Linked DNA regions of Oryza sativa Japonica Group. The protein of the gene in region 4 binds, or shares a complex with, the protein of the main gene of each other region. Links are inferred from orthologs where the notes say so. Each region holds a gene or a part of one and is shown on either strand. Other genes may lie near its edges.

Evidence for each region.
Region 1: photosynthetic NDH subunit of lumenal location 1, chloroplastic (region 4) and NAD(P)H-quinone oxidoreductase subunit N, chloroplastic share a complex: the UniProt entries of both Arabidopsis thaliana proteins name them as parts of the chloroplast NDH complex. The link is inferred for Oryza sativa Japonica Group from reciprocal best matches to the Arabidopsis thaliana genes PnsL1 and NdhN.
Region 2: photosynthetic NDH subunit of lumenal location 1, chloroplastic (region 4) and NAD(P)H-quinone oxidoreductase subunit S, chloroplastic share a complex: the UniProt entries of both Arabidopsis thaliana proteins name them as parts of the chloroplast NDH complex. The link is inferred for Oryza sativa Japonica Group from reciprocal best matches to the Arabidopsis thaliana genes PnsL1 and NdhS.
Region 3: photosynthetic NDH subunit of lumenal location 1, chloroplastic (region 4) and nAD(P)H-quinone oxidoreductase subunit M, chloroplastic share a complex: the UniProt entries of both Arabidopsis thaliana proteins name them as parts of the chloroplast NDH complex. The link is inferred for Oryza sativa Japonica Group from reciprocal best matches to the Arabidopsis thaliana genes PnsL1 and NdhM.
Region 5: photosynthetic NDH subunit of lumenal location 1, chloroplastic (region 4) and photosynthetic NDH subunit of lumenal location 4, chloroplastic share a complex: the UniProt entries of both Arabidopsis thaliana proteins name them as parts of the chloroplast NDH complex. The link is inferred for Oryza sativa Japonica Group from reciprocal best matches to the Arabidopsis thaliana genes PnsL1 and PnsL4.
Region 6: photosynthetic NDH subunit of lumenal location 1, chloroplastic (region 4) and photosynthetic NDH subunit of subcomplex B 4, chloroplastic share a complex: the UniProt entries of both Arabidopsis thaliana proteins name them as parts of the chloroplast NDH complex. The link is inferred for Oryza sativa Japonica Group from reciprocal best matches to the Arabidopsis thaliana genes PnsL1 and PnsB4.
Region 7: photosynthetic NDH subunit of lumenal location 1, chloroplastic (region 4) and NAD(P)H-quinone oxidoreductase subunit O, chloroplastic share a complex: the UniProt entries of both Arabidopsis thaliana proteins name them as parts of the chloroplast NDH complex. The link is inferred for Oryza sativa Japonica Group from reciprocal best matches to the Arabidopsis thaliana genes PnsL1 and NdhO.

The regions. Positions count from the first base shown.
Region 1 is NC_089035.1:38,936,210-38,939,115, reverse strand, and holds NAD(P)H-quinone oxidoreductase subunit N, chloroplastic, read left to right. Parts: upstream 1-1,159; 5' UTR 1,160-1,264; coding exon 1,265-1,627; intron 1,628-1,742; coding exon 1,743-1,859; intron 1,860-1,972; coding exon 1,973-2,058; intron 2,059-2,142; coding exon 2,143-2,212; 3' UTR 2,213-2,406; downstream 2,407-2,906. Other genes in the region: protein DMP7, read right to left, coding at 2,425-2,906. UniProt on the Arabidopsis thaliana protein: NDH shuttles electrons from NAD(P)H:plastoquinone, via FMN and iron-sulfur (Fe-S) centers, to quinones in the photosynthetic chain and possibly in a chloroplast respiratory chain.
Region 2 is NC_089041.1:5,276,820-5,279,532, reverse strand, and holds NAD(P)H-quinone oxidoreductase subunit S, chloroplastic, read left to right. Parts: upstream 1-1,159; 5' UTR 1,160-1,250; coding exon 1,251-1,988; 3' UTR 1,989-2,213; downstream 2,214-2,713. UniProt on the Arabidopsis thaliana protein: NDH shuttles electrons from NAD(P)H:plastoquinone, via FMN and iron-sulfur (Fe-S) centers, to quinones in the photosynthetic chain and possibly in a chloroplast respiratory chain.
Region 3 is NC_089038.1:27,480,329-27,483,421, reverse strand, and holds nAD(P)H-quinone oxidoreductase subunit M, chloroplastic, read right to left. Parts: upstream 1,722-3,093; 5' UTR 1,682-1,721; coding exon 1,196-1,681; intron 1,042-1,195; coding exon 865-1,041; 3' UTR 501-864; downstream 1-500. Other genes in the region: uncharacterized LOC4336531, read left to right, coding at 156-233; uncharacterized LOC4336529, read right to left, coding at 2,747-2,983, 3,075-3,093. UniProt on the Arabidopsis thaliana protein: NDH shuttles electrons from NAD(P)H:plastoquinone, via FMN and iron-sulfur (Fe-S) centers, to quinones in the photosynthetic chain and possibly in a chloroplast respiratory chain.
Region 4 is NC_089037.1:9,604,824-9,608,372, forward strand, and holds photosynthetic NDH subunit of lumenal location 1, chloroplastic, read left to right. Parts: upstream 1-1,141; 5' UTR 1,142-1,261; coding exon 1,262-1,303; intron 1,304-1,379; coding exon 1,380-1,476; intron 1,477-1,562; coding exon 1,563-1,646; intron 1,647-1,789; coding exon 1,790-1,863; intron 1,864-1,973; coding exon 1,974-2,096; intron 2,097-2,228; coding exon 2,229-2,300; intron 2,301-2,485; coding exon 2,486-2,582; intron 2,583-2,735; coding exon 2,736-2,845; 3' UTR 2,846-3,049; downstream 3,050-3,549. Other genes in the region: E3 ubiquitin-protein ligase CSU1, read left to right, coding at 1-636. UniProt on the Arabidopsis thaliana protein: NDH shuttles electrons from NAD(P)H:plastoquinone, via FMN and iron-sulfur (Fe-S) centers, to quinones in the photosynthetic chain and possibly in a chloroplast respiratory chain.
Region 5 is NC_089036.1:32,085,314-32,088,927, forward strand, and holds photosynthetic NDH subunit of lumenal location 4, chloroplastic, read left to right. Parts: upstream 1-1,220; 5' UTR 1,221-1,295; coding exon 1,296-1,697; intron 1,698-1,931; coding exon 1,932-2,024; intron 2,025-2,130; coding exon 2,131-2,191; intron 2,192-2,319; coding exon 2,320-2,388; intron 2,389-2,566; coding exon 2,567-2,634; 3' UTR 2,635-2,686; intron 2,687-2,796; 3' UTR 2,797-3,114; downstream 3,115-3,614. UniProt on the Arabidopsis thaliana protein: NDH shuttles electrons from NAD(P)H:plastoquinone, via FMN and iron-sulfur (Fe-S) centers, to quinones in the photosynthetic chain and possibly in a chloroplast respiratory chain.
Region 6 is NC_089036.1:31,695,870-31,699,353, forward strand, and holds photosynthetic NDH subunit of subcomplex B 4, chloroplastic, read left to right. Parts: upstream 1-1,497; 5' UTR 1,498-1,603; coding exon 1,604-1,693; intron 1,694-1,797; coding exon 1,798-1,842; intron 1,843-1,936; coding exon 1,937-2,090; intron 2,091-2,184; coding exon 2,185-2,240; intron 2,241-2,329; coding exon 2,330-2,401; intron 2,402-2,548; coding exon 2,549-2,677; 3' UTR 2,678-2,984; downstream 2,985-3,484. UniProt on the Arabidopsis thaliana protein: NDH shuttles electrons from NAD(P)H:plastoquinone, via FMN and iron-sulfur (Fe-S) centers, to quinones in the photosynthetic chain and possibly in a chloroplast respiratory chain.
Region 7 is NC_089035.1:42,963,003-42,966,248, forward strand, and holds NAD(P)H-quinone oxidoreductase subunit O, chloroplastic, read left to right. Parts: upstream 1-1,317; 5' UTR 1,318-1,382; coding exon 1,383-1,623; intron 1,624-1,773; coding exon 1,774-1,829; intron 1,830-1,955; coding exon 1,956-2,021; intron 2,022-2,136; coding exon 2,137-2,178; intron 2,179-2,256; coding exon 2,257-2,316; intron 2,317-2,413; coding exon 2,414-2,443; 3' UTR 2,444-2,746; downstream 2,747-3,246. Other genes in the region: phosphatidylserine decarboxylase proenzyme 2, read right to left, coding at 115-345. UniProt on the Arabidopsis thaliana protein: NDH shuttles electrons from NAD(P)H:plastoquinone, via FMN and iron-sulfur (Fe-S) centers, to quinones in the photosynthetic chain and possibly in a chloroplast respiratory chain.

The DNA.
Region 1 (2,906 bases), on a different chromosome or scaffold from region 4:
GTACAGTACAGTCGGGTCACAGTGGAGGGCGGGGACGGGGAATGGTTCACCGTCCCCGCCCCCGTCATCCCCGATGGTGAGAGGTTTTTAACCATTTCATTCCCCATGGTGAGTGGATATTAACCATCCCCTGTCACCTAATAGGTGAATTCACCGCGGGGAAATGGTGAACGGGCCCCCATTGCCATCTCTACGCCCGGCTGGATCTGGCGGTGGGGCAGAGTGGTCGGGCGCAACGATTGGAGGTGTTGGCGGCGGCGGAGGAGGAGACCGCTAGATCCGTGCCTGGATCTAGCGGCGGCGGGCGAGGACCGGCGCCACTACGGCCGGATCCGGACGGCGACGATTGTGGGCGACGGTGACGGCGGTGGAGGTGCGGGAGGCTGCGTGAAATCCTAGCCCGGTCTTGGCCAGACCAGCAACGATGATGTTCGAGCGTCATTCCCCTCCTAAGGCCGTTGTTATGCCATCTCACCCTCAAGTGTAGTTGTCGGGCGAAAGCCTAGTCTTGGTTCGATTTGAGATCTTGATAGACTGTGGCGGCGATGTTTCATCACTTCTCTCCGTTTTCGTGGTAGAAACTAGAAACATCGTCTAGGCATCACCTTGTTGAAACCCTCAAGCTTTTGGTGCAAGCTCACTCTAGATTCTCATCCTCTTGTGACAGCGTTCTAGTTTCTGCAAGTTGGCCATGTCGAAGGGACTAAGGGAAGAGGAATTTCATTCTTCTCTCTCACCCTCTCCCTAAATCCCGAAGACTTGGATAGAGTGGTTTTGCGTTGGTTGTAAGGGTCGGGTTTGGGCAAAATCTCGGCTGTGTTTCGTTGTTGGCCTAGTGGTGGTCGGTCACGCTTAGCGGCGGCTGGCCCGGTGATAGCCTTATCTTGATTTTGTGTTGGTGCTATCGGTGTGTGGGTGGTGATGTACTTTTTTTCATTTTTCTTGGTTACAATATTACAACATTGTAATCTTGTATTTTTTTTCCTACTCTATCAATGGAACTTACGGGTTACGGCTTTCTGGTGTTGGGGTTCGTATTTGGGCCTGATCTAGCGTGGTTACATGCTTGGGCCACGTCTCGGACCATCCGCTTGGGTGGACTCCGCGGAGATCACCGCTCAGTTGAACAAACTGGGCGCACGACACCGTCTCCGAGTCTTATCCGCTCAACGCGGTCAGTACGCGCGCGGCTGTTATCTTCCCGCCACAGGCTCAAACAAACGACACCCACCCACCCACACACACTACACTACAGCAACCAGCGATGTGGTCGGCGGCGGCGGCGCGCACGGTGACCCCGCTGCCGGCGGCGTCGCCCCTGCAGCAGCATCAGCAGCGGCGCGGGGCGTGGGCGCGGGTGGGCAATGGTCGGGCGGCGAGCACGACGGCGGCGCGGGCAGGGCTGTGGGACTTCGTGGGAGGGGACCTGGTGAAGCCGGACATGGGGCGGTGGCTGGACGACGTGGAGAAGCACAAGTCGCTGGCCATCTACCCGCCGCACGAGGGCGGCTACGAGGGCCGCTACCTCAGCCGCCTCAGCTACCAGGGCTACTACTTCCTCGACCTCTCCGCCCGCGGCCTCGGCGACCCCGAGACCACCCTCACCAAGATCCACCCCGTCTGCCCGGTCAGTCCACAAAACAATCCTCTCTCTCGATCTCGATCTCGAGCTAGCTAGTAGCTAGCTGCCTCCGATCATGGCTGACACGAGCTTGCTTGCTTGATTGCTCTGATGTGCGCAGCCGAGCCTCGGGAGGCAGCCGGTGGCGAGGTGGTACTTCCCGCCGGAGGTGGACTACAGGCTCAGCTTGCTGCACCCGGACGCCAAGGGCCTCGTCGTCTGGGTCATGGAAGCCAAGGTCTCCATCCATTGATCCATCGATCTCACCATCCTGTTCTCTAGCTCAGCTCTGCAATTTCCCGTTTCGTTTCTGCGTCCCGTTAATTTGTTTGGTGGTTTCTATTTCTGCAGGTTCTCTCCAAGGCCGAGCTGCAGTTCCTCGCCATTCTCCCTGACATCCGCCCCAAAGTCAGGGTGATCGCGGAATGCGGCAACTGGTACGTAAACCTGAACCCCGAAATTAATGATGACGATGTGTTCTTGTGATCTCTGAATTAAATTCTGTGCCCTGTTTGGCCCAGGAGGAAATTTGTGTGGAAGCCGCTGAAGCAAATCGCGGGCCTTGAGCCGGACCCTGACGCAGAGGAATGAACAAGATCAAGACCATTAACAGGCAGCCTGAAACAAAGTTACTTGATATATATCTCATCCAACACACATTGTTTCCCGCTTTGTACTTCACTTGAGAGAGGCAATGAAGAATGTACATACATTTTGGCTCAAATTACCCCAAGACAACCATGTAAAATCAAACTTTCACATAATACAAATCCATCAGAAGACCATGCGATCCTTTCGTCTCATCAGCGGCGTAGGTAGACAAGGTCGGTGCTGAGCAGGAACGGGTACCCGATTCCCCTCCTCTTGGACGGGAAGAGCACGAAGAGGAGGCTGACCACGAAGCCGATCACGAGGGGCACCGTGTTCACCACCTTCCTGGGCACGCCGGGGTAGTAGCACAGCACGATGTCGTGGTGCGACGCGGCGAACGTGACGAAGGCGACGAGGGCCAGGGCGGTGTGGAAGAGGTCCGACCACCGCAGCCTGTACCTCTCCGGCTCCCTCGGCCCCGCCTTCCCGCCGCCCCGCCGGCGACGCCGGCCGCCGACGCAGAACGTGCGGATGCCGCTCGTCGTGGCGATGCCGTACCGGAGGCGGCCGGTGGGGGAGCGGAAGCTGTCGGTGAGCGTGAAGAAGACGCAGGAGGCAGCGCAGAGGAGCATGAGGGCGCCGGTGAGGGCGCGGTTGAGGCGGGTGCACTTGCCGTCGTCGGTGAGGAGGGGCG
Region 2 (2,713 bases), on a different chromosome or scaffold from region 4:
GTCGTCTACTCCCTCCGTCCCAAAATAACTCAATATAGGATAGGATGTTACATATTCTAAGACAACGAATCTAGATTGAGTTATTTTGTGATTCTCTCCATCCCAAAGAAACCAACCTAAGAGGGGATTTGACCCCTCCCAGTACAACGAATCTGGACACTACATCTCCTCTTAGGTTGGGTTTTTTTTTACGGAGGAAGTATTTCTTACGGATAGTAACTTTAGGGGCCTATTTATGAAAAAAAATAAAAAGGGGCTTAAATGTAAAATTTTCAGTCGAAAAACACGAGGTCCTCATCCGAAATTCCTAATTGGCGACTGGTCGCGTGCCCCCTCACCCCGCGCGGATGGACGCGTGGCGCGCGTAGGAGGGGGAGGGGGCGCGGCGGCCGCGCACAGTGGGAGGCCCGCGTTCTTTTTTTTTCGCCGGTTTTTATGGTTGTTTTCTTCGGTTCTTTGTTTTTTTAAAAAAAAAACATCACATATATAAAGTTTGTATATACAGTATACAAAGTTTATATACATACGTATATAAAGTTTATATATATGCGTATAGTGTATATATAAAATTTATATACGTGATGGTTTTCCTCTATTTTTTTTTATTTTTTAAAATGAACATATATAAAGTTTGTATATATATCATAAACTTTGTTATACGTTATATATAAACTTTTGTATATGCGTATATATTTACATATAAAATATATTTTTTAAATAGTACTAGTAGTATATAATAACAGTAGTAGTGGTGTAGTGGTCCTAGTTACCAGTACTAGTAGTACTAGTACTAGTTCTAGTTAGCTGTGTTTATTCTAGAGTAAAGTTTAGATTTTGGTTGAAATTGAAGATGATGTGACTGAAAAGTTATGTGTGTATGATAGATTGATGTGATAGAAAAGGACTGAAGTTTAGATCCAAACTTTGGATCTAAACACAGCCTTAGTAGTAGTAGTTAGTAGTACTCCAGTTACTACTACTTCCTCCGTTTTACAATGTAAGTCATTCTAGTATTTTTCATATTCATATTGATGTTAACGTGTAATAAATGCTAGAATAATTTATATTATGAAACGGAGGGAGTAGTAGTTTAAAGTAGTACAGTGGTAGTAGTACTAGTAGTACTTTAAGTATATACTGTACTCCGTATAGCAGTACCAGTCGCCCATTAGCCACCCCCGGTCCTCATCCACCTAGGCTTTAAAGGCTTCGTCACTTCCACACATCCTCTGCTCCGCTCTGCTCCACCAATGGCGCCCACCACCCCCGCCTCCTTCCTCCGCCCGCCGCCGCTGCCCCACCACCACCACCCCCGCATCGTCCGCCTGCCCCCTCCCTCGGCGACCTTCCGCGTCGCTGACCTCCTCGGCGGCCGGGGTCTCTGCAACGGCGAGGTCGGCATCCGCAAGGAGCTCGCCTCCGACTCCCCCGCCGCGCCGCCATCCACCACCACTTCTTCCGACGAGCCCGCGGAGTCGCCACCGCCGCCGCCGGCTGCGTCCGGGGTGGACCCGGACGCGTTCGACAAGGAGATGATGGGCCTCACCGGCGGATTCCCCGGCGGCGAGGTCGGCCTCAAGGACTTCGTCGCCAAGAACCCGCCTCCCCCCAAGCCGGCGCACAGGAAAGGTCTCGCCGCCGCCGCCACGGTGGAGCGGCCGAGGGCGCCGGAGCTGCCGCTGTTCCTCCCCGGGATGGTGGTGCTCGTCAAGAACCCCAACAACGCCTACCACATGTACTGCGGCATCGTGCAGCGCGTCACCGACGGCAAGGTCGGGGTGCTGTTCGAGGGGGGGATCTGGGACAGGCTCATCACCTTCGATCTCGACGAGCTCGAGGGGAGGGAGAAGGGCCCGCCCATGGTGAACCCTAAGTCCGTGCTGCTCGAGTCCCTCGCCGCGGAGATGGAGGACGATGTGGCCAAGGAGGAGGAGGGAGAGGAGGCCAAGAAGAAGAAGGAGGAGGAAGGCACCGCCGCCGCGGCTTGACCACCATTGCTGCTTCTGCTTCTTCTTGTATGTATACAGCTATCTATATTTTCTTAGATGATGGAAGTGAAAGGGGTATATATATATATATTATCTATTCGATGAGTAATTTCGAAGTGAGTAAATGTGTTGTTGTTAATTGCTATATGTACAGTTGGAATCTTAGTGTGAATTGGCACTATGAAACAAACGATTCGGAGATAAAAGTTTAGCTTCTTTGTTGAATTGCTATATGTTTGATCAATTTGATCACGTTTGGTCCGGATTGCTAGTGAAATGCCTACAAGGGCACCAGTTGCCATAGTTCATTATGTTGGTAGGATTAATTTTTTTTTTTACAAACTTGAATTATCATCTCTTGCTTCTTGAAGCGAAGAGGCTATGACAGTCAGGTAACCAGGCTTTCATGATTGTAAATTGTACAGAGTATGAATGTTCAAGTGTTCGTTATTCCTGACATGACTTCAAAATCCCGCAGTATTTCGCACAGCAACTATCTATGCATTGTAGTTTACGTTTGCCTGATAGCTGGTTTCCCATGATTTTTGTTTATTTGAAAGAGTATATGAAAAGATAGGGCCTTTACTTCTATATAACCTGCCTTACTCAGGAATAAGTGTAGCAGCAGATTTAAAAGGATGGTAAAGGAAGACAGTGAAGTAACAATAATGATATAGTGTTTTGCAAACAGAGTACAATTTGTATTGATTACCACCATCTATATC
Region 3 (3,093 bases), on a different chromosome or scaffold from region 4:
CTGCGTGGAATTGTACTCTGCAGTTTAGTACAACACAACTACCTAAGTAGCATGATGACATTAGTACTTAATGCAGCGATGGCATTTTTCTAAAAAAAGATTGAGATGCAGTTTTGTAATTGGCAATTTTTGAATTGTATGACACTCTTTTGCAGAATAATGCACATGAAGATCAATTCAGGCCATGGGTTGATGTTTCTAAAGACCACGAGGTTATTCCTTTGATCGATTGAGATTTACACATTGCAGCTGGTCAAACCCTCAAGTCCAAAACATTAAACATCTATTTGCGGGAATGACTCTCTTAAGGGTGACGTAATGTCATCAGCAGAGATTGTCTCGTATCTATATGGAATGAGATAAATAAATATATTGCCAATGATCGAGAAATAATTCCCTATTGGAATATGCGCACATCCTCTTTGCAAATAATTTAACATTGAGTTTTGCCTGTGAATTTGAGGGCTGGATTCCATGTTCTACCTGATCTCACCATCATAAAGCAATAAAGCAGTGGTGTTATTTCAATGTGATTGGATTACCTGAAGTATCGACATTTTCACACCGCTAATACTCAGCAAAAACCATAGAACGGAAATGCCATGAAACTAGAGTGCTAGACCCTTCCTTAGTCTTCACGACAGGGTAATACCCTCAGTTTGCTCAGCTTCTCTTTATGTAACCATGTTGGAGTCGACAAAATTATTATCGACTGTGAATGTTCTGCTTTTGTATGAACCCGATTTGAGTTCGGAAATACCCTAGCTCATGGCTCTTCTGGAAGAGCAAAATATACATTGGGCATCTTTGAACGGGAAAATCATTGATAGTTACATGCTTTCTCTTTAGGGTACAACACGCATTCTATTTTACATCTGGGATCTGGCTGCTGTTGAATTTGATCCTTGGTTTGCCCATGCTGAAATTGAGGACTCTAGACATCATGTTGTACTTTATCTCCCCATCGTATAGCAGTTTGCGGATGAAGTGCTCAAGATCAGATCCGATCAAACGAAGCGTGTACTCTGACAGCTCCGCGCCCTGTAAATTCAATCCAGGTCAGTTAAGCAGGTACTACCAATTAAGCTCTTACAACTAACATTTCCACCTGGAGAAAGAGACCATGGGTGTACACTACTGCTACCCTGCATTTGCAATTGCCAATTCTGCCTATGAGTTACGGTGCGTAGTATACCTCGTAGTGATCGACGAGGTCCTGGAACTCGTCGTAGACCTTCTGGCACGTCTCGTCGGTCCAGACGAACTCGTCGGTGGGGTCGAGGAGGAGGGTGAGCTTGTCCATCTGCGTCTGGTCGAAGGCGTTGGTCTCCGGGTTGATGTACGCGGCGTAGATGCGGATGTGCCGCGTCGTGCAACTCAGCCACTGCCCGCCGTACTCCCGGCTCATGTTCTTGCTCTCCGCCAGCGGCTGCACCGGCAGCGGCTGCGCCGGCCCCTGCCTCCTCGTCTTCCGCTCCCGCCTCTGCTCCTCCTCCTGCGGCGGCGGCGGCAGGTTTTCCACCGCCGCCTCCTCCTCCTCCTCTTTCACCTGCTGCTGCTGATCTTGGGCTCGCACCGGCGGGAACCTGACGCTTCGTCGCGCCGTCCACGTCGCGCGCGGGAGCCGGCGCTCGAGCGACAGCTTGGCCGGGGACAGGAACGGGGACGCCGTGGTTGCCATGCTGCGCGCAGCTGTTTCGCTTGGCTTTGGCTTGGCTTGTGTTTGTGTTGCGTGGGTGGTGGTGGTTTTTTTAGGTTTGCTGCGCCTGCGCGCGCGCGGCTAAGCTGCCGTGCCGTGCCGCCTTGGAGCCACTGGCTGTGTGTGGCTTGTGTGGATAAGGGCTATTTCTGGCACTGGGTTTCAGCGACTCGTACATGTTCTGGGCCAATTGACCACACAAATGTATTGGGCTGTGGACGTTGGCACGGCCTGTTGCATTGCATGACAGAGCTGAGCAGCACGCGCTCTCGTGTGGTATGGATAAATACTGTTGCATTTCTGACAAAACTTTGTATGTGACTGTTTTTTTATAACTCCATGTGGTGTGACGGTGATTTCATACTTAAAGAAGTAACCCACTTTTCCTCGGCACAGCAAAAGCAGAGGATACGCATACTCCATGGCCTTTAAAATAACGAGAGTAATTTTTTTTCCTTTTCACTTTGTGATGATCGCTTCACATGAAAGGCAAAGCAAAAGCCTCTGTAGTGATTTTAAGCTTTCTCAGGCGGGAAAAGTCTGTTCAGGATTACTCCATCCGTCCTATTTTAAGTGCAACCATAAATTTCCGTGTCTAACTTTGATCATCCGTCTTATTTGAAAATTTTTTATAATTAGTATTTTTGTTGTTGTTATGTGATGATACAACATGAATAGCACTTTACCCGTGACTTATGTTTTTAATTTTTTTTAAATAAGACGGACCGTTAAAATTAGGCGCGGAAAATCATGGCTACACTTAAAATGGGACGAACAGAGTAAAATACTTGGGAGACATGTACGTCGTACACCGGAGACTTGGAACACTTAAAACACTTTATTATATATAAACAACTTGTTCATATATATATATATATATATTGGGCAGTAATGTAATCTTGGCAGCAATCAATTACTACAACTAACGTGTATGCATGGTGCAGCAAATAGAATACTTACAACTAACGTACGAATGAACCAATTCAAACGAATGAAATTTAATCATGTATTTATGTACAAAGGAGAGACATAAGAACGTAGCTCGAGCTAGCCATGGACATTGGTCTGCATCGCCGGCGGCAGCAGCTCAGGAAGCCCGGGCGTCGATGCAACGATGAGGGGTATCACGGGGAGGTTCTCGCAGTTGCAGACCTCGATCATATTGCCGTCGGGGTCGTGGAAGAAGAGCTGGTCCACCACCGTCTCCCCGTCCCACACTTTCCTCACGACGAACTCCCGGTCCATGGCTCGTAGCCTCGCCTTCATGACCGCCATGTCTGAGCACTGCCATTCGCTCAAATCGAGTTAAGACAAATACGAACTCTGCTCTCGAACATAACAGTAGCTGATCGACCTGCGTGCATGCGACTGATACCTGGAAGGAAACGTGGTTT
Region 4 (3,549 bases):
GAGGAGGATGAGAAGCGTATGCTGCAAAAGTCCAAGGAGTTGGACGCTTTTGATCAGCAGAATCATGGAGCCGTCCCCCAATACCACGATCGCAGCGGCTCTGAAGACAAGAATGGTTTTCATGGAGCAAACAGCGTGAAGGTTACTTCCTTTGAGGAGGAAGCCCTTCGCAACATGAAGGCATTCTGGCTTCCATCAGCTACACCTGAAGCTACTGCCAAAGTAGAAGCTCCCTCCACTGACACAATCTGCCCCGAGGGACAGGAGAAGCTCAAGTTGAAATCGCTCTTCCCTATCTCCTTCACTGAAGAAAACACCGACCAGAAAAACAAGAAGTCGGTGGAGAAGAGCTACATGTGCCCCAGTTGCAAGTCTACCCTAACAAACACCATGTCCCTGGTGACGATCAGCACGTGTGGCCATGTCTTCTGCAAGAAGTGCTCTGACAAGTTCCTTGTAACTGATAAGGTCTGCTTGGTGTGCAACAAACCGTGCAAGGAGAGGAATTTCGTTCCTTTGGAAAAAGGAGGAACTGGATTCGCTGCCCATGATGAGCGTCTAGAGGCGAGAGATTTCAAGCATTTGGGGAGTGGTTCTGGACTGGGTTTAGTGAAACCTGCCCCAAAGAACTACTAGCCTCAAAATATCTTAGCTGCTGTTGTATATTATTTATGTTAACCTGAAAATTTTGTTTCAAGCATCCCCTTTCGCTGTGAACAGTCTGGAGCAAATTCAGTCTTGTTATGCTAGTGGCACTATGGTTGCTAATTGCAGCTTTGCTTATTTGCTATGGCTAAATGCGTTAGTTCGCAGCTGTTGTACTATTTATCTACCAAGTTTGAAGCACAGTCAAAATCATCTTTCTTGTTACATCGAAGCTATCGAATATGTATCGCATGATCTGATGGTAGGATCGTGTGTGTGTGTGTGTACATATATTGTTTTTCAGCCAAAGTCAATGTACAAAAAAAAAGGTAAAAAGAGAATTGGAAAAACATAAAGCTCTCACATATCTCCACCACAATCACAACAGGAACGGATTGGTCCCATTTTGTCAGTCAGTGCTCAGTACGAGACAAGGCCAAAAGTTCTAATGAGGATAATGGAAATGCTGACCTGGCTTCCTTGCCCTCCACTCACACAGACACACAGACTACACTTGAAAAGCGAACGAGCCAGTCCTAGCAGCAAAGGATAACTTGACTGGAGGAAGGCAAGAACACGTATTTTCTTCAGGTTCATAGCTACTCCTGCAGGTGAAATGGCAAGCCTGCAGAATTTGATCTGCTCCGTTTCCAAGCAGGTGTGTGCTTGTGCCCTCTTCTCATCGTTTTCTGAATCTTGTTTATTTCACCACTTTATATCGGTGTTGTTTTCAGTTGGTTGCTCCAAATTGTGCTGTTACCAGCAAGCTGAATGCGTCTCCTCTGTCAGTCGTCAACGCTAGCTCGAGTGAAGCATCCTCGGATGAAAAGAGTAAATTCCTCTCTGTCAGTTCTCTCGATGCATTTTGTTTCTGAAGATTAACATTTTTTTTGGCTGATTATCTCTCCATCTTACAGATGTGACAAGGAGGAGATTAGCTCTGCTTGGTGCTGGAGCATTAGCCACTGGTCTGCTAAAGAGCAGCTCTGCATATGCTGAAGGCATGGCCATCTGAACTGTCGCATGGTTTTATTTCAGTACTAGGTTGTCTGCATGTTACATACAAGTTCCCACTTCTCAAGTAGCCATTAAGCCTTTATGGCACCATGAGATGATACTAACTCGGATTGTTCCTATATTCCAGAAGTGCCAAAGAATTACAAGTCTTATGTGGATTCAAAAGATGGATATTCATACCTGTATCCAGCTGATTGGAGGGTAGGTTGCAATATTTTCGTCTTGAAGAACAGAGATGTCAGTTCCAATGACTGTGTTTTCGGTGGTACATGGTATTGATGTATGCCCTTTGTTTTGATGTGTCACTTCAGGATTTCGACTTCCTGGGGCATGATTCAGCGTTCAAAGATCGTAATGTAGCGCTGCAGTGCGTGCGTGTGGGCTTCATTCCTACTACAAAAACAGATATCCGTGACCTTGGTCCAATGGATGAGGTAGGATTTCATGCGATATCTGATAATATCTTTCTTGGTAATGTAAAGGAATCAGGCAATTTTTTTAGCCTTTTCTTTTGTTATACATCATAGATTTTTTTTATTCTGACAATTTACATACTCCTCTATCAGGCGATCTTCAATTTGGTGAACAATGTTTATGCTGCTCCAAATCAAATACCAACTGTCTATGACATGCAAGAGGTTTGCCATTTATCCATCTCCTTCAATCAATACTATTTAGCCATATGATCTATCTGAGTATACCAAACTGTCGCTGCATTGCTCTTTCGCTGATTAATTTACGTCTGATCTCATTGGAATGGCTATAACAAAGACTGCAACAACTCTGCAAGCAAAATAAGCAACTGAGTTGTTGTGATTCGCAGCGCACCGTGGATGGCAAGAACTACTGGACATTTGAGTACGATCTTGAGGCCCCGGGCTACGGCGTGTCCGCATTTGCGACGGTTGCCATTGGAAACGGTATGATATTGATATGATGCCTCCTCACCACAAGATCGCAGAGATATATATCATCATCATCTATTAAATTGTATATTTCATCATGCATGTATTTTTTTTTCCTCTCATAAGAAGAAGCTGGTTAACCTGATGGCAATGGCAATGGCATGGCAGGTCGGTACTACACACTGATCGTGACGGCGAACGAGCGGCGATGGAGTAGGCTGAGGAACAGGCTCAAAGTCGTCGCCGACTCCTTCAAGCTGTCCGACCTCACCGCGTGATGGGAGGCAGTTCAATTGCAGAAATATCTTTTATTTTATTGCTTCGTAGTCATGTAGATACATACATACATACAGACGCTGATCTACCACTAGAAAAAGTGCTGGATCGAACACCCTGGCTCAGCTTCCAGGAAAAAGGATGCATAATTACCTTATAGACTTCAATTAATTAATTGTGTGTATGCTATTAGAGCTATTTTTCTATTATAGCCATCTAATTATGTTGATTGAATCGGTTCAACCATCAGTTGCAACTTGCAAGCGACGAGTAGCCATCAGTTAAAAAGGCAGACCATTAGGCCATAGTCTCCGGAGCCAAGGACTTAACAGATCAACAGCGTTTCTATACAGACGTGTGCACGATCAAACCAATACATTACAGAGGCGAAAGGAATCAAGTACACAGGCCTCAGAAAGAATGTTTGCAACTCATATATTACAACAATTACAATGCCCTCCAAACTTGCTAACTATTTCCAGAATAAGTTCCCCTCCAAACCCGCTAACTATTTCCAGAATAAGTTCCTAGAGTTTCAACAAAGCTAGTCATCTGAATCTTCAGACTAAAATTTTGTTGTCAAGACCAGGTCACCATTCCGCTCATTCAGAGCAGCGCCAGCGACACCTAACATTTTTCCTCCGACAAAACGGTAAGCCACAGAACCATGACCCCTGGCTGAACAGAGCGAAAAGGAACTTGATCA
Region 5 (3,614 bases), on a different chromosome or scaffold from region 4:
CGCGCGGCTTGCAACGGGCGGCGTCCGCGCGGGCGCGCGCACGCGAACACAGCGCGCGGGAAGCGGCAGCGAGGGAGCGGTGAGGGAGGACTTGGCTCGGCGCGGGCGGCTTACGCGTGCTGGCTCGCGGGGCCGAGCGGAGGGGCGCAGGGCGCGGCTCTCGCGCTCGCGCGTGGCGCGCGAGGGAGGGGCGCTCGGCGCGGCGACGCGCGCTCGCGCGCGCGGCGCGGGGCGGAGCGGAGGGAGAGAGGGAGAGAGCGGGGGCGCGCCGGGGAAAGCGAGAGAGAGAGCCGGGAGAGAGAGGGGAAGATGGGCCGAGGGAAAATCGGCCCATCGACCCTGGGGGAGGCAAAATGGACTTTTGCGGAGGAATTTGATTTGGAGGGATTGGATTCGGAATTGAACTCGACGATAGATCGGGGATTGAGATCTTGAGATGGCACGGATACTAGACAACAAGCAAAGAAACAAATTTCGCAATTAGGGTTTTTAAGAGATAATTTCCCCGCTAGGCGCCACGACGGAACGGGCGCTACAGCAGGTCTGGCGAGGGGGGCGGGGAGGCCGGCGAGCTCGCCCTCATCCCACCTCCAACCCCTCCCCGCCTCCTCCCTCTTCGTATGCACTCGCTGCCGGCCTCCCCGCCTCCTCCCTCTTAGCATACGCTCGCTGCGGGAGCTGTGGGGGATGGCGGCGTTCTGGCTGCAGGCCAACCCCATCCTCGTCGGTGCCGCACCAAGTTGCCACATCGCCACCCGTCGCCAGCTGCCCTACCAGCCTCCTCCGCAATCCGCACCCGCTGGCCGCCCTGAGAAGAGAGAGAGGGAGGGAGAGGAGGGGAAAATGGGAAATAAGAGAGAGGTGATGATATGGCATCTTACATGTGGGACCCACGCGCTGACTCAGCCGTCACGTCAAATAAAACCGGGGTCAAAACCACCGAAGGATCTAAAGTGAACGGTTTTGTTAGTTGAGGAACGCCTGATATCTGGTTTTGCGGTTGGGAAACGATTTTGTAACTCGATGACAAGTTGAGGGACCTTCGGTGTACTTTTTCCTGGAATCATCTGTCGTTCCACGGGCCACGGCCGCCGTTTGGCGACGAGACACGCGGCTTGGCCCGCAAAAAAAACGAGGATTCCTTCCTCGGTCCTCGGGTGTTGAGTTGGGAAAGCCCATGGCCCGTGACGACGTACGCGGGCGTTTATAACGACGCGACAGAGAGGTGCCCGCGTTGCAGCAGCCACAGTTTGGGGATAATCCGATTCTCTACTCCCCAAGTGACTCACTCACCGATGGCGCCTCCTCCTATCTCCTCCTCCCTCTCGCTCATGGCCTCCAACCCAATCCCGTCGCCTCCGGTCGCCAAACCGGGCAGGCCGCTCACCGTCGCGGCGTGCAGCAACAGCAGCAGCAGCTCCTCCTCCTCCTCCCCGTCGTCGACCTCGTGCTCGGCTGCCTGGAGTCTCCCGGTGGCGACGTCGGCCGGCAGGAGGGGGCTGCTCGCGCTGGGCGCGGGGTTCCTGGCTTCCCCTGGGCTTCTGTGCCCCGCCGGCGACGCCGGAGCGACGCGCATCGAGTACTACGCGACGGTGGGGGACAAGCTGTGCGACATGAACGTCGTCAAGTCGGGGCTCGGCTACTGCGACGTCGAAGTCGGCACCGGCGCCCAGCCCCCGCGCGGCCAGCTCATAAATGTCAGTTCCGACAGAAGAGTTTCTCGCACTTTCTCTAGAAGAACCTGTGTTTTCTGAATATGATTAACTCCTGTATGGAGTAATTAAGCATTGGCAGATCATAAATTTGCCCAATTTGCATCAGTACCGATCCTTTAGTTAGTTCGACAACGAATAAACCTGCCATTTTTTTCTCGCCATGACACTGATAGGAGTTTCAAGTGTGTTAATTGGAGTTGTGTTCATGGTTGTAAGGTACACTACACTGCAAGATTTACTGACGGGATAGTGTTCGACAGCACCTACAAGCGAGGACGGCCACTGACAATGCGCCTTGGCGCAGGCAAGGTGCGCAGCTTTTGTTCATTGCACGTACATCTTCGATCGTAGCAAGCATCTTATGTAGTTATGCAAGGAATCTTATTGTTTGGTTCGTTCGCATTTTCATTCTCAGATCCTCCGAGGGCTTGAACAGGGAATCAGTGGTGGCGGTGGTGTGCCACCCATGCTCGTTGGTACTGTCAGAAATCCAGAAATAATAAGCATATGCATCTCTTTGTGTGTCAAATGCTAAAAATATAGTACTGCTTTTATTTTTCTTAATCACATCGTGTCTCTGTTGAAAATCGCAATAACATTACAGGTGGAAAGCGCAAGCTTATGATACCTGCAACTTTGGCATACGGACCTGAACCAGCAGGTTGCTTCTCAGGTAATAACGAAAGAAAAAAAAAAGTAATCAAACAAGTAATCTTAATTTAATTCTAGAAATTTGAGACCAGATTAAGTTTCATGTATTTAACGATGTTTCAGTGCTATCTGTCTGGCTCCCTTATTAGCATTCGCTAGAAAAAATATACAAATTTACAGAAGATTTACTTATTTAACAGGAGACTGTAATATTCCCGGCAACACCACACTCCTATACGACATCTTCCTGGTTGGATTTTACAAGTGAGCATATGATGAAAAGGAATATGCATGACTTGAACAGACTAGGTGCAAACAAGGTATGGTGGTGGTATTCTGAACCTGTCTGATTTTTTTTTCATCTGAAAACAGTATCCCTTGCCTAAAGGGGTTGTTGTTTGTTACATAAGCATGTTACATTCTCTGGCAGATTTTCGAGTAAATTTTGGCGTTTCATACAAGAGGCGGGACTACGGACAGATGAAGAGAAAGGGTGCGACATGCCTAAGCCCAGACGCCGAAAGCAAATGCGTCACCGGAGCTCCTTGGGTCTCCAATACGCAGAGTACTACATTTGCAATCTGTACCAAGAAGTGAAAGGATATATAACAAACCGGTCCTCTGATATACTATCAAATTGGTCTTATGTTTTCTAGAGAAGAAAAGTCTTGTGTTTGTGTAAGTATAACGTTGTAAAGACATGTCTCATTATTCATACTGTCATTGGTACAGCCAAACACAACAAAAATTCCCATCCTTTGTGGCAAGTCCTAACTAAATGAAGTTGAACTCTGACTGAATATCGATTGACTGGTGACTTCCAAACCTTCAACAGTTCAAGCAAGCTAATCGACTGTATCAATACTAATGTACTCAAAAAAATGTCGAAAGTTCGTGTCAAAGCACATGTGCAGTAGTAGCTTTGAGCCTTTGACTGCTGTCTGCACTGCAGTATTGCCACAAGATAATTTAATCATAGGTTTGTTAACCATCAAATCGAAACATGCATTGTTCAGACTTCAGAGAATATCCTAAAATCCTTTTATGAAACCAAAGAACACCCAAATCGTGAGAGTTGAACTATCGATTGACCGGTTCAGAGCCAGAACTGGTAGGTGAATGAGGGAAGAAAAGGAGAGCTGCCATTTCCGTGGCAGGAAGACTCAAGAATTCCAAAAGCTTCTTGTCGGTTTAAAACGAAAACCTTTTTCGTCAGATGCTCTGAATGCTGCTCGGTGTCATGAAATT
Region 6 (3,484 bases), on a different chromosome or scaffold from region 4:
AAATATTGAACGTACGATTGGTAGGCTCCGATATTTGAAAAAATATTGAACGTACGATTTGTAGCGTCCGATTTAAAAATATTTCAACATAATTAAGTATTTGTGCAAAAATATTTTATTTTTCATATGATTTTTTTTATGTTTCACTCATTGGTATTTAACGTTTTGTGTAGTGGTTGTGATTGTTTCAGTTAGTAAATTGTTGTATTTCTCTAAATTTGAAACAATTCACGAGGTGAGTTGTAATATTTGTGTACATGTGATGAAACAGTTTTCTATCAATGGTGAGACAAGTTATTTTTTGAGACACATGTATATTTTTATCAAAATATAACCATGTGAGATCTTGTTATAAAGATTTAATGATGATGAATCTAATGGTATCATTGAAATTTAGATCAGAATATATAATTTTGGAGAAAAAAATATTTAAAATTTGAGGAAAAAATTAGGCACATGTAATAATAGAAGGGAGAGGGAGGGAGCGTATGCAAGCAGCAGCGCAAGCAACACATACAGGGGAGGCAAGCAACGTGGCACGTGAACAATGCAGCATGGGCGGCCTACATGCATGCGTATGCGCGCGGCAGTGCGGGGGTGAGCGTTGACCAGCAAGTGAAACATTATGTTATATATGGTGAAACAAAAAAAATCAACAACCGAAACATTTAAGTATTTTATGAAACATGGTGAAAATACACGTTGAAACATGTCGCTGGCACATATGAAACAACAAGTATTAACGAATTGAAACATATATTTTTCTTTTATCAAAATAAAATCATGTGATATTTTATTGTAAAGATTTAATTAGAACAAATATAATGGTGTGATCGGATCATAAATTGGATAAGTAATTTAAGAGAAAAATTATTTTGAAGCTTGCTAAAATACATACATGTGTGCATGGATGAGGTGGAGAGAGAGGAGAGAGAGTAGTAGCAGTTAGTTTCATGAATTTTGTGAAACACACCGATGACACATATTGAAACATATCACTATCACGTACGAAACATTTTGTTTTAACGTTTTGAAATACATGTTTTTCTTTTGACATAATATAATCATGTGATATCTCATTGTAAAGATTTAATTGCAACGAATAGAACGGTGTGATCGGATCGTAAATTGGATAAGTAATTTAGGATAAAAAATATCTAAAGAGAGGAGAAAAGAATGAAAAGAAGCAGTTAGACACATACGTTACAGTGACAGGGTTCGTTCTCACATGCCTGCATGGGCGTCCGATTTTTGGTGAGATGCCGGACGCCAAGCCGTAGCGCCCTCCAAGAAATGGCGGACGGATGCACGTAACGGGCCACGAGCCCACGGGTCAACCTAATCCCATCCGGCCCAAACATGACCTTGACCGGGCAAGGCCTAGCAACGCTCAAGCCCGCTTCAACCAAGCCCAAAATTCTTGTGCTTTTCGTCTGCCCAAGATCAGACAATGGTTGGCCACCCAAAAGTCTGACCTTATCCACTAAAATTTTCCATACAGATTACAGGTTACAGGTTTCACCCCTGAGCCAAACGTGAGCCCGCTACACTGACAACAACAAGCTCATCGCCAACCCGCTACTGAAGCAGCAGCCTACCAGCAATGGCGTTGCCGCTGCTCAAGTCGTCCCCCCACTTCTCTGCTCTTCACTCCGCGAACAGAGCCCAGCTCCATGGCCGCTGCCGTGCAACGGTACCGCACCGTCCATTCTCCCCTTCGCGTTCATGCAAAAACTGCTTTCCTGAATTCCTTGCGAATTTCACCTACTTGTTCAAATGTTGTTGTTAAATTTGCAGCTCGGTGGATTCCATGACCCGAGGTCCAACTCCAGCCGTTGCAAGGTGAAAGGTCCCAGTGCATTTTAATTTTTTCACCGAGAAAGAAGAAATCCGTGGTGATTGGTGAGGCAAAGTAATGCGGTCTTAGCGTTTGCAGAAATCGGCCGGGAGGGGTTCAGTGAAGGCGAACGCGTCCCCGTTGGACGTGGTGACGCTGATGGTGACGATGGTGGAGCACGTCGACCTGCAGAGGGACTACGTCGTGCACAAGTCGATCTGGCATCTCAGCGACGCCGCCCTCAAGAGCGTCTGTGAGTCGTCGTCGTCGTTTCACCTTTCCTGCAGTTTGTTGTTACGTCTGAAACTGAAACTTTTCACAAAAAAATTTCTCTGTCTGTCTCGTAGATACCTTCTACGCCTTCTTCACAGTCTGGGGCATCTGCTTCTTTGCGTCCATGAAGGCAAGCACGCAGAACATATGCCACTACAACTTGGAACGAAATTACATCTTCGATATGTGTTACTGACACGGTCTTGTGTGAATTTACAGGATCCTTTCTACGACAGTGAGGCGTACAGGGGACAAGGGGGTGACGGCACCGTGCACTGGTACTATGACCGGGTATGTCTTTCATTACGGCTTTTTTTTTTTCCTTTATCACGAAGAAAGAACATTCAGACAATTAGACAAACTCTAGTTGTGCGAAGCTACTAAGATAACCAGTCATTTTGCTGATCGATCTCCACTCTCCCATGGTTGATTCTGCAGCAAGAGGACCTGGAGGCGTCTGCAAGAGAGGAGCTCCTGAGGGAGGAGCTACTCGAGGAGATCGAGCAGAGGGTCGGAGGGCTCAGAGAACTCGAGGAAGCAGCCAAGGAGGAGCAGCTTACAAACTGATGGATGAATGAGAGATTGCGCATGGATGGATGACTGCATGATCATGGCGCGATGCGGCTGCATTCTGTAATACCGTACAGAGCGGCTGTGTAATAGCAAGATACACAGTTGCCTGATAGCGCCTGTAAATGTTGGCATCAGACTCAAAAGGAAAGCAAATAGGTGCTCCGTCTGCATGAATGCATTATATTGCATTTGTAGTGTAGGCTAAAAGAAGGAATGTACTACTCCATGTTAATCAAAGAACCTGTACCGTTCACCATGGTGGATATTGCTTCCAAAATATATAAATTGTGTAAATCGACTGATATAGACCTACACCATGGTGGATATACGTGCCCTGTGGAGACGGAAGTTTTGTCAGATCGCAACCAAATTGTGGCGATCCAATATGCTTTCGTTCTGTCGGCTCTCACGGTGTCGGGCCAACTTTATTTGGGTCCAGTACAGAATGGTAGCGATTATGGGCTACCTTTACCGGGCCGCTCGGTGATGGACTGGCCCAAAAAACTCCGTTAGTTCGGCCTGCTTGCGCTGGTGGTCGCGCGCTGGGAATTGGACGCCATCGTCGGCCACGGCCATTCGATCGAGGAAGAAGAACCGCTGATCATACTTGAGCTGCTCCACTACAGGCCGCGAACCAGCAGCAATCAGTCTGCACTCAACGTACAGTACAGACCACACTACCACAGTAGGTAGCACATGTATATACTACTTGTATAGGGTGCAGAACTTCGTAGTATTCCGTCGATCAGCTCATCAGTCATCAGAGACTAACAATAGTTATTTCGACACAGGTCTCTCGAC
Region 7 (3,246 bases), on a different chromosome or scaffold from region 4:
TACAAAACCACAGCAGCAGCGTACACAGACGGAATGAATCAAAACCACCGATCCCCAATTCCACCCCCCTCCGCTTCGCAGCCGCAAGCACACACACCCAACCCGGCCCCGTACCTTCACTATCCGGATGCGCGCGATGCCGGCGAACTCGTCGACGGCGATGGCCCTCCCCGTCCCCGACTCGGAGGCGTGGGCGTCGCCACCGGGACGCCCCGCGCGGTCGCGGTGGCGCAGGCGGAGGCGGCGGCGGAACCGCTCGAAGCGAGACGGCAGCGGCGAGGGCGGCGACTCGCCGTCGCCGCCGCCGCCGCCGCATGCATTGTGGCGCGAGGGCGAATGGCCCATCTGTCAGTGAGATGGAGTAGTTGGACTCGACGGCAACGCGCAGGCGCAGCGAGAGACTTGAAAGGCGATGACCTTTTAAACGCGAGGCAGAGTAGGAGGAAGGGTCATCGGGTGGTCCCCACATGTCATACAGATAATAATTAATGGCAGTTTCCACATGGCAGTTGTTATACATCTGGGAAAGGCAAAAGGCCGTACCCAAGCAGGAGTCGCCTGGGTGTTCGTTAGACTGACATGTGGGGCCAGGATATGCTCGGATCATTCACTACCTGGACATGCGGAAGAAGATTCATGATTTTTTTTTGCTTTTTTCCAGCGCAACCGTCGCAAGACAAAATAATGGTACGCGTGGGGCCGGTTTGATCGAATATTTTCGAAGGGTTGCTATGTTTTGCTAAAGTAGAGGTCAAATGGGATGGATCATGGATGGATGGGGACGTTGAAAACGCGGTGGATTCATTTGAGGAGGAAGGATCCTTGGCATCGGTCAATTGTGCATGTTACGACAAGTGCCACAAACCAGCAGAAGCAAAGGTAGAAGATGACCATTGCAAAAAAAAAAAAAAAGGGGGGGGGGGTGTCCTCCTAAGCTTAAGCTAGGCTTTGCATTGCTCTCAACGCTTTTCTCCCTTCCACTTGCCGCTGTTGTTTACTCTTTCCAAGCTAAATAGCGACATAAAACTAAAGCGGAATTCCTCATTTGCTCGCTCATTCGCTGAGGTCGAGCATACAACAATCTAAGACGGTGTCATGATCCATGACCTTGACTCCTCCAATTCTCCTTTATTTTTTCTGTCTATCTCTCTCTCTCTTTTCTTTTGCTAATTCATTCATATAATATAATCATCATATATGGGCCTTACCCAAATGAGGTGAGCTGGGCCTGAAGCTTTGTGACAGTTGGCCCAAAACTGAGAGCGCTAGCTCAGGCCCAGTGGTCACCTTATCTGCCGCGTGCAATTCATGTGGCACATATTTACGTGCACTTCGTCACTTTGCTTTTTGCCATTGCCATTGCCAAAGCTAAGCTTCTCGCCATGGAAGCTCTCCTCTCCTCGCCGCGCGCTCTCTTCTCCGTCACGCCAACCGCGTGCTGGCCGGCGTCAGCCAGGAGGAGGAGACGTGTTGCTTCTCCTGTCAAGGCGGCCGCCGCCGCCGCCGAGCCGGCCGGGGAGGAGAAAAAGCCCGCCACCGGCGGCGCCGCGGCGGCGGCGGGAGACGGCCAGGCGGCTGCGCCGGCGCCGAAGAAGATCCTCAAGAAGAAACCTGTCTACTCGAGTAATGAATACGCTTTGCAACTTTGCATTTCAGCTCTGAGTTCTGAACAAGCATCAAAGCCATTTAGCTTCTTGTTTGTTTTTTTGTTTATACTTGATTAACCAATCCATTTATTTTCATCCAATTGATTTGGTTGATGATGCGCCACAGTGAAGAAGGGCCAGATTGTGCGCGTCGACAAGGAGAAGTACTTGAACAGCATCAACGTAAGCACACTGATCGATGCTACTGCATAGATGCTTCATTCATTTCTACTCTTTGTGCTGTAATTTCAGTCTATGATTTCCTCCCCTGCACATGATTTTTTTTAAAAATTTGTTTCATTGATTCAGTATCTGTCAGTTGGACACCCGCCTTTCTTCAAGGGGCTAGACTACATATACGAGGACCGTGGCGAGGTAATTATTTAGCCCATCTTACTGAACCTGAAGTTAATTTCAGCTAATTAAACCTAGCAGTAAGAACATCTTCGTTCTAGCTACGGTCATAATCTTGTTCGTCATTACCGTGCAGGTTTTGGACATCAGAATCTTTGAAACAGGGGAGTATGCCCTGGTGAGTCACCTGCCACTTCATTTCTTCTGTATATTTTGTAGATTTGGACTTCTGAATCTCATTCATATGTTTGGACAGATCGCTTGGGTTGGAATCCCAACTCCACCGGCATGGCTGCCAACTTACATGCTCATCAAGGTAATTACAGTATCTCTAAGTCCATCACACATGCAGCATTGCCAAAATGCAGAATGTACCATCATTTGACCACTTAATCTTAACACTATTTTTACAGTCGGATAAACTCGACTACGAGAGAATATGATATGCACAGGATCGAAGGTTGCGTTCAAGCTAGCTCAGCAATCGGGTGGGAGATCGGTCCTTGGCCTGCCAGACTAGCGTTTTTTCAGTTGTTTTCTTCCCTGCATTGCAGATTCTTCCCCTATTTCGGTTCTTCCGACGATTAATCTGCAGATGTTTTCAGTCGGTTCGTGATATATGACAATGTGTTGTATATAGATGTCAATATGAGGCGATTTGCTGTTGCCTGTTGCTCCGCATCTAAATTAATTATACTGAACTGAAAAATTTAACAAAAGTTAAGTGATGATATTCAGAGCTATTCAGATTCATTTTTTGAGATGGCTAATTATCGTGCCATCTGATCGTATTCTGTAAGCTTCAAAAAAAAAATGTTAGAGATATACTGATATAGAATAGGCTAACGGATGCACATACCCATGAGAACGTCTCTTTTAAACACGTTCGTAATGCATGAAATAACTAAAAGTTCTACTGAAAGAATACTCATTGTACGTGTAACTGCGGATATCAGAATTTAAACTCTAATGAACATACTTCTTCTGTACGCACAAATCCATCACTAGGCCCCGTTTGAATCCTCTAGGAAGAGAGGATATTTTTTTTTTGATATTCGTGGCACGCTTTTCAAACTGTTAAACGGTGTGTTTCGTGCGAAAACTTTCTATACGAAAGTTGTTCTAAAATATTAGATTAATCTAGTTTTTAAATTTGTAATAATTAAAACTTAATTAATCACATGTTATTACCACCTTGTTTTGTTATGAAGCTCTTTTGGAACGCATGTTATTTTTACGAGTTAAT